2 linked regions of the Rattus norvegicus genome follow. The protein of the gene in region 1 purifies or fractionates together with the protein of each later gene. This does not show direct contact. Links are inferred from orthologs where the notes say so. Each region holds a gene or a part of one and is shown on either strand. Other genes may lie near its edges. The genes, in order: Gid8 and Rmnd5a.

Region 1 (4,251 bases):
ATGACCTATGGCACTTTGGGTTAGAAAAGGCCACCTTTAACATGTTAGTCTGACTTACAAATATCAAAGTTAACATACAGGTTTTTTTTTTTAATGATTTCTCAGTGCAACCTAATTTTATCATTACACTTCAGGGGTAAAGGGCTACTTGTTTAAAAAGGGAGAGCTACTGTCAATTGGTGGCCCTCACGCACAGCCAGCCTTTACCTGTGACTAAGTAGTTCATGATGAGTCGGTTCATGTCTGCGCGCTGAACATGTAAGTTGTTGAGCTTTTCCATCCATTCATCTTTGGTTATTTCATCGGGCTTTTCTGCGTAACTCATTATGACTTATTTCTACAGGAAAAGGATACAATAATTGGGGAAGAATTCCATGTCCAGTGTAATCATTTTAAAAAATAAACGCAGCAGTGTAGTAAGTGCAAGAGTAGGAGGATGCTTTCAATCTTGAAACTGACAAGCAAAAAATGGCCTGAGAAAATGACACGTCGGGGGTAGCGTCAAGGTCAAAGGTGGGAAGTATGGTAAGTGAAATAAAAGTCACAAGTTGTAGAATGAAGAGACCAAGACATCACGCTGTGAAGGAAGGGGTTAGGTTTGAAGCTAAAAGCATGAAGGGGAGGGTTGGGGATTTAGCTCAGTGGTAGAGCGCTTGCCTAGCACGCACAAGGCCCTGGGTTCGGTCCCCAGCCCCGAAAAAAAGAAAAGAAAAAAAAAAGTATAAAGGGGAATCACTACAGAGTTATAGGTTAAAAACTGCATGTTATGGTGTAAAAAGGACGCAGCAATCAAGAGGAAGACAAGTGTTAGTGAAGGGTGGAGTCTCCTTCAGCGCCTTCGTGGGAGAACAAAGGTGTGAGAAGGACGATAAGGGGACACATGCTTCCTTCCGTTGGACAATGGTACTCCTACATCCTACAGGCACCAGAGAGTGTGCTGTTCACTGATGCACTTAAGTTGACAAAGGGTGGACCACACTCCCCAAAACAGTCACTCAACAAGATCCTGAATAAAGGAGCTTTGATATACAAACGCCAACTCTGAACCCTTGGGCACTCGTGTTCTGAAGAGAAGGCTGCTGTTTTTCACACAGATCGTATGGCACAAGCTCTGGTCTGCTTCATGAATGACAGCCTCGCTAGAGACCAGAGTACGGTACAAGCATGCAAGTCTGACTTGGTCGAACATGCATATTCACACTCGGTGTGAAGGAAGCTAAAACACGCTATCAAGTTGACTAATGGGTTCAAAGAGACAGTTTTAGCTGTGTGTGTTGACCACGATTTTAATACCAGCGCTTGTGAGGCTGGGGCAAGTGGATCTACAGATGGAGTTCTGGGCCCACCAGAGTTACACGGTGAGACCCCGCCTCAAAAATAAATAAAATAAAGAAATTCTTACATTCAGAGTACTTAAGACTTTCGAACATCACTTTAATAAGAAGTACAAGTGTGACATGTTTTGCAAAATCAAATATGAAACAAACCACATGGCATGTCTTTAGCACAAAATACTGTGTGATCTTAAAACAAAGACATGGTATCACACAGGGATTGTTTCATGGGGGAGCAAGGCAGGATGGTAGAGCCACGGGGAGGGTGGGGGTAGGGGAGGGACAGTCAAGGTAACTCTAGGATGGGCTGGATCATTTTCACTTTGTCAATAACATATACTTCGAGGATATTACATTGTGCACTGCAAAGGATGAACTATTCTGTTTTAATAAGTCATAAAATTGAAAGACGGCTCTGGTGTCTGGTCTGACAATGGAATGCACATTGCCTGGAAAGGGCTAAGCAGTCCAACGAAGAGACCTCTTAGTGCTGGTAGAGTGGGCAGCAGAAGAGACAAGATCAAGCTTTGGCCTCCAAATCAATGGCAGCTGTTGCTGGACTGAATTTGAAGGGACAAGAGAAAAGAAGCATGGACAAACAAATTGGAGGTTTCAAGTGTCAGGCCTTAGAAATGGGAGCACGGCAAAGTGTGAGAGATGCAAGTAAAACAGGTTGGAGGAGCAGGGCAAGTCTGGGGCAGAGGACTCTGGCAGTTAGACAGGTGTGGTAGGACTCTGGATTACAGGTCCCGGGACCCACGCTAGAAACAGGAAAGGTATTTAAGCAAGAGTTTAAAGAAAGATTTAAGATATTAAAATTCCTAAGCCCACTTGCGGATAATTGCGGTTAATATTTGGGGCATGCCAACACTTCTAGTTCTGGCAGACTTGAAGGTCCCTAAAATCTAGTAGGGGGCGGGGGAGGCGGGAGGCCGGGGCCCCGGGGAAGTGAAACTGAACAGGGCTGATGTCTCTCCATGCCACAGGATAACAGAATTCACCGATTCTTAACTTTTATTCATAAGTGAGCTAAAGATCAGTCTGAAAAAAAATGTTTCCCAAGAAGGTCCTTCCCTCTCGATTTCCACTCGGCGCCGGGAAAGCTTATCAAGTAAGGCTGAGGACAGACAGGGGCTAGTGTTTCTGTAGGATTCAGTGGTTCCCAAAATTCAGCGGTTACACAGTGGACCGGGATGCATCCTAAGCCCCGAGGATGACTTTTAACGCAGTAGCTGCGTCTTCGCCTTTCGCTGTCCCCTTCACTGCGCCTTTAATTGCAGAGATGTGCGAACATTTGCAATAACTATTCCGGTCCCGGCAGCACCCCGACTAACAGTGCGGCCTCCGACCTACCACTCCGGGGCCGGGCGGTGAAGGGCAGGACTGACCGCCCTGATCCCCGCTCTCGCCTCGGACGCCCTGGGCAGGGCAGCCTGGAGAGCACAAGCCCCCGACCTCTGACCTCCGCGCCGCGGCCCACCCCGGAGCCCCGCAGAGACGCTCGGCACGGCCGTCAGGGCCCGCTGCGGCCATCTTACCGTGCGGATCCCGCCTCCCGCGCGACAGGGTCTGGGTGGCGGCTCCGCGGCCGCTCCCGGGGCCGGGGAGGGGCGGCAGAGACGGCGGGAGATAGAGGAGGAGGCGGAGGCGGAGGCGGAGGCCGCAGCGGAGGCGGGGGCGGGGCGCGAGGCGGAGGTAGATACACCGGCGTCTGCCCCCAGACACCTATCGCGAGATCGTAAGATCTCGAGATGCGAACTGGCAACCAATGGAATCCTCTCGCGAATCTGCTGGGCAGGCGGTCACAGGATACTAGGGTCTTGTCTTCCGTTCTTGCGCACAACTCTTTGGCAGTGCCCTAGCTCTACGGGTTGGCGCGAGAGTCAAAAGGCTAGTATCGCTTCTGCGCAAGATGGCTGCTGCGGGGGCATTCGCGTACTGAGTGCTAGCGCGGGGATGGAGACGTGTAGACTGAGTTCGAAATGAAGGTCCCAGCTCTTTTCTTGTTTTGTGTGTGTATGTGTTGTGTGTGTGTGTGTGTGTGAAGCGGGGGGTGGTTGAGGAATAGGTGTGTGTGAACACCGGAGTGCGCGAGATGAGGGCATTCCCGGCCTTTAGTCCGCCAGGCTCTAGTCTCAAAGACAAGGCCTCCGGACGTGAGCGAGCTCCTAGGATTTATTCCGGGAACGTTGTAATAGAGGCCAGGTCAGCGTCAGAACAACGCTGCTTAGAGCGATCCTTGTGGCTTCGCTGGAGAGCGGACTGCAGAGGCTCTCGTTCCCTCGTTTCTGGGCACTCAAGAAGGTGACTCCCTAGTGCTGGGGTTCTCAGGGAATGGAGCTTGCACGGATGTTAATCCCTGTTTCTAAGGCAATCATGGAAGCAGAGCAGATCCATGCTTCAAAAACGCTCACCGTGGGGATTCCTCCAGGCCGCCGAGGGTATTCCCTACTTCAGGGCGTTCACAGAGAGTGTCTTAGCGGCGTACGGTGGGGACCCAGCTCAAGACTCCGACGGAGGGAATCCCAGCCGCCGGAGAAGGGACTCCTATCCCTCCCACCCCCCCGAATCCTGTTTATTCATTGCCTTGAGATGGGTTCTTAGAGATTCCGGTAAGGGATGGGGGTAGTTAGAGGCCCTCGCTGGAGTCGGTAAATGAGTATTTGCATATTCATGTGTTTATTGTCTACCGGAGGGGAATGCAAATTTAGTCATTGTAATGTAAAGGAATTCTGGAATGCTTTTGGGGGGGAAATGTTGGGCAGTCTGAGATAGTTGAGTGTGCTTGCTTAAAAATGAACTGAGTTTAGGGAAAGCAACTTCTCATTGAGTCACTGAAAATAAGGCCAGTTTTGCAGATCTGTTGGACACAACGACCACAGTGGCTGTACGCGCTAAGTCTGCAACTCCATAGCTC
Region 2 (3,815 bases), on another chromosome or scaffold:
GCTTTTGAAACCTTAAAGACCACTTCCAGTGACATACCTCCTCCAAAAAGGCCCACAACTCCCCCAACACCACACCCCTACTCTTCAACTATATAAGCCCTGTAGGGGCCATTCTTATTTAAACCACACACCAACCCTATTCCAGCAACAAGTACCCAGGTATATTTCAGATAACTCAAGTAAATGGTATGTTCACAGTAAATCATCAAAATCCAGTTGTTCACTTGTGCATCCCCCTGGGTTCAATTCATAGCACCATGTATATTGTGGTGATCTGGGCCAGTGGCATGACTCAGTCAGTTAAAGTGCTTGCTAGTTTGCAGCAGAAACCTGATGACTTGAGTTCAATCCTAAGAATCCACAGTGGAAGAGAAAACTGACTCCCAAAGCTGTCCTCTGATCTCCACATATACAATATGACACCCATAAACCTGAATTCTCTTATCTTCGACTCCTGACACATTCCTTTTTCCCTTCTCTCTTTCTCTTTCATGCACACTCACACACATCTTTCATACAGAATTTTTCATCTGTTCATGAATATCACTTAGCTCCCATAGCCAACTAAAGCATCTCTCAGAATGAGAGCACAACCCTCAATACATTATAGCAGCTCGAATATCATGTAAAGATTGCTGAAACAATAATGCTTCAGTTTTAATACTGGTCTATCCAAAGAGGTGTTGGAGCATAGATAAGTAAACCTATTTTTCTTCTGGAAACATGATCAACTGTTATGTTAAGTAGGCTGCCCATGTTCTCATATTATGCAGCTCTATTTCACTCGGTTTAAAGACATCCAAGAGTCCTTTCTCAAATCCTCTTTATTCTACCCTAGGTAAGACAGACCTATCAAAATATCTCTCTTCTGTTTTACAAATAAATTTTCTTACAAAGTTCCCCTCATAGTACCTAAAAGAAAGAGTAACTTACTCAAGAGCAGGCCTTAGAACTCTGACTTTTAATGCTTCTAATATTCGATTTAATTCCACAAATGGTTCTTTCTGACTTGGGTCCACAGACAGACCAGACTCCTAGAAGGAAAAAACAGACAAACAGACAAACCTGTTAGTATAATCATTCACAGTGGGAAAAGCTGATCTAGACTATAAAATACAGGGCTGTCAAAGATAATTTTCTTTTAGCATATACTTCTGGGGCAGAAACAGAGACTGTCCAACCTCTATGCTTCAGTCAAATCTGAGCCAAGCACCAACCTTGAACTCTAGCTGAGTGCGGTTCTGCACTCAGGCCAATGCGAAGTAAATACATACTCTTCCCTGGGACGGAAGGTACAGCTGGAGTCTGGCCACAAGCAGAGGAGGGCTCACTGGGAACTGCAGAGCTACGAGGAGTGTCTAAGAATTTCACGGGACAGGTGCTATGAGCCTCTCTTACTACCTTTCTTTCTATACGAAAAGAACAAACTTTGTTTAAGCTTCTATCTTGAGTCTGTTACTTGCAAACAAAGTGATCTTCAATAAGACAATTTACTGTGAGGTCGGTATGGACACACGCACCTCTAAAGGTACAAAGCAACCCACGTATCATTGATTTTAACCGTCTCAAACAGAAAGGCTCAGATTATAGACTGGTTTATGCTGCAATTTAAATAGTTTATCTTTTGAGTTCTTCATTTTTCTTAAACAACAACAACAATGCAACAGAATGGAGTTTGGAGAAATGAATAAGGGCTGAATACTGAATCCCCCATTTCCTTCCCTGAATGGCCCTGGGTATATTCCTTGGTTCTCCAAACCTCACACTCCTTATGTGTGGAATAGCAACAATAACTCCTAATGCAAGGAAAAGCAGGGTGTGGCCTGAGTAAACACATAATACACAGCAGTTACTACTATCGTGACTACATGGTGTTCCTGGCTAACAGAAGTAAGATGGCCAATGCCCACCTCATGTAAATTTTAACCTGAAATTTCATTTGATATAGTTTTATTAGATCAGAAAACCAAACATCACTATTTTTGTTTCTTTTTTCTGCTATATTAACATTCCCTATCACAGGAAGAAAAGGATCTGGAGTAAATGGTGCACACCACTAAATGTAGCACTGGGAAGACTGAAACAGGAGGAGTCAAGGCCGCCTGGGCCACACAGGAAAAGTAGTATTACTTTGACACTTTGACTCATGACCAGAAATCAACCTACCAGACTCCGAACAAAGAAATAACAATTTGGATATTAAACTCTGAGTGTAATTTCCTCTGAGTGTAATTTCTTGAGGAAAGGGCAATTCAGATACTAAATTATAGCACTAGAATCTTCATAGTTAAAAAATTTCCTAGCAAAATTACTTATTCATGCTAATTAAAATATTACAAATCGACCTACAGTCTGAGGTGCCCCCAAGTCCCACCCGCAGACACTGCAGACCCCACAGCACGGCCTTGTTTGTTTCCCTATGCCTCACTGGCACATGCTTACCTGGCAGAGCTCCTCGGCCACGTCCAGCATTCCTTGTCGGAAGAAGTGTTCCACCATGACTTCATTGAGAAGCCGCTGGCTGTCTGCCTGCCAGCAGCCATCTATTCCCACACTGCTAATGTCAGAGTCAAAATTCTGGGGGCAAATGGAAAATAATCGTGTATAGATGACTTTCTTTTTTCACCTCACTTAACAGAAAGAAACATCTTACAGAAAGGTCTACATCTTCCGTTGGTGTTACCAGGAAGTACTCAATTCAATTCATCTACACAATCACAGGCAGGGATTTTCCTAGTGCTTCTTTTAAATCTTTTCACTCCTGGAGATTACTGGTAGATAAATATGAACTTAAAAAAAAAATCAAGAAGCACTCTAGGAAAATGTATAGACTTAACACTGACTTCTGTGAAACCAAAATCAATAAGCCAATTTCTGGGCATTATACTATAGCAATATTTTCAGATGTATGCTGTAGTAATCTGTTAAAAGCATGCTCAATGCAGCTCTGTCTGGAATGTGAAGGACAGAAATACACACAGCACACATGCACACATATGCATGCATATATGCACATACACATACACACACACACACACACACACACACACACACACACACACACACACCCCCTCATTGGACATAGAACTGCTACATGGCACAGCCCACTAACTGCAGTTCTGAGGCTGGGACTGAGGAGACAGGTGGTGTAAAGGGTGGTTTCTATTATTAGGCCTACATTTGAGCTGTGGATACTAGTTTTGACCCCACAGAGCATACTTCTGACTTTGAAAACCGAAGTAAGATAGACTGGCTACTCAGAAGTACAATCAAGACAACTGTGAACCAAATTGAATTGCAACCCACAGAAGACTAGCATCTGCCCATCAGAGGGCAACTCAAGATTTGTTTAGCATAGAAGGAACCAAACACAGTTCACATGATACAGAAGAGGAAGTGGCAAGCACCAAGGCCAAAATGACAAATGCTGAAACCCAAGACTTCTAAGCTATCATTACAAAAATGTTCTCCAAAAAGGGCAAATACTCTTTTGAAAAACGCATTGTTGTTCTTCCTTTCTACCACATGAGTTCTAGAGACAGAACTCAAAATTGTCAAATTCTGAGGCATTCTTTGCTGTCTGAACCCAATCTCAGGCCCCAGAAAGCAAACATTCTTGAAACATCAAGGACAGAGTAAAGAATTAGAAGACACAGTAACCAAAATAAACTCACCAGAGACACAGAAAAGCAGGAACAAAGTGGCAGTGCAAGAAGCCAGTAAACGTTACCATACATATTATCCAATTAGAAAACAGAAAAACAAGATGCAAAGCAAAACAAAACACAAATGAGCAGAGTCTGAACAAGTGGGAA

Evidence for each region.
Region 2: the proteins of Gid8 (region 1) and Rmnd5a purify together in Homo sapiens (affinity purification with mass spectrometry; 5 studies listed by BioGRID and IntAct, counting the BioPlex papers as one, with this or other methods). This does not show direct contact. The link is inferred for Rattus norvegicus from reciprocal best matches to the Homo sapiens genes GID8 and RMND5A.

Annotation. Positions count from the first base shown.
Region 1 is NC_086021.1:188,202,375-188,206,625, reverse strand, and holds the start of Gid8 (glucose-induced degradation protein 8 homolog), read right to left. Parts: upstream 3,056-4,251; 5' UTR 2,873-3,055; intron 338-2,872; 5' UTR 326-337; coding exon 208-325; intron 1-207. UniProt on the Homo sapiens protein: Core component of the CTLH E3 ubiquitin-protein ligase complex that selectively accepts ubiquitin from UBE2H and mediates ubiquitination and subsequent proteasomal degradation of the transcription factor HBP1.
Region 2 is NC_086022.1:104,959,985-104,963,799, forward strand, and holds part of Rmnd5a (required for meiotic nuclear division 5 homolog A), read right to left. Parts: intron 2,578-3,815; coding exon 2,443-2,577; intron 1,035-2,442; coding exon 934-1,034; intron 1-933.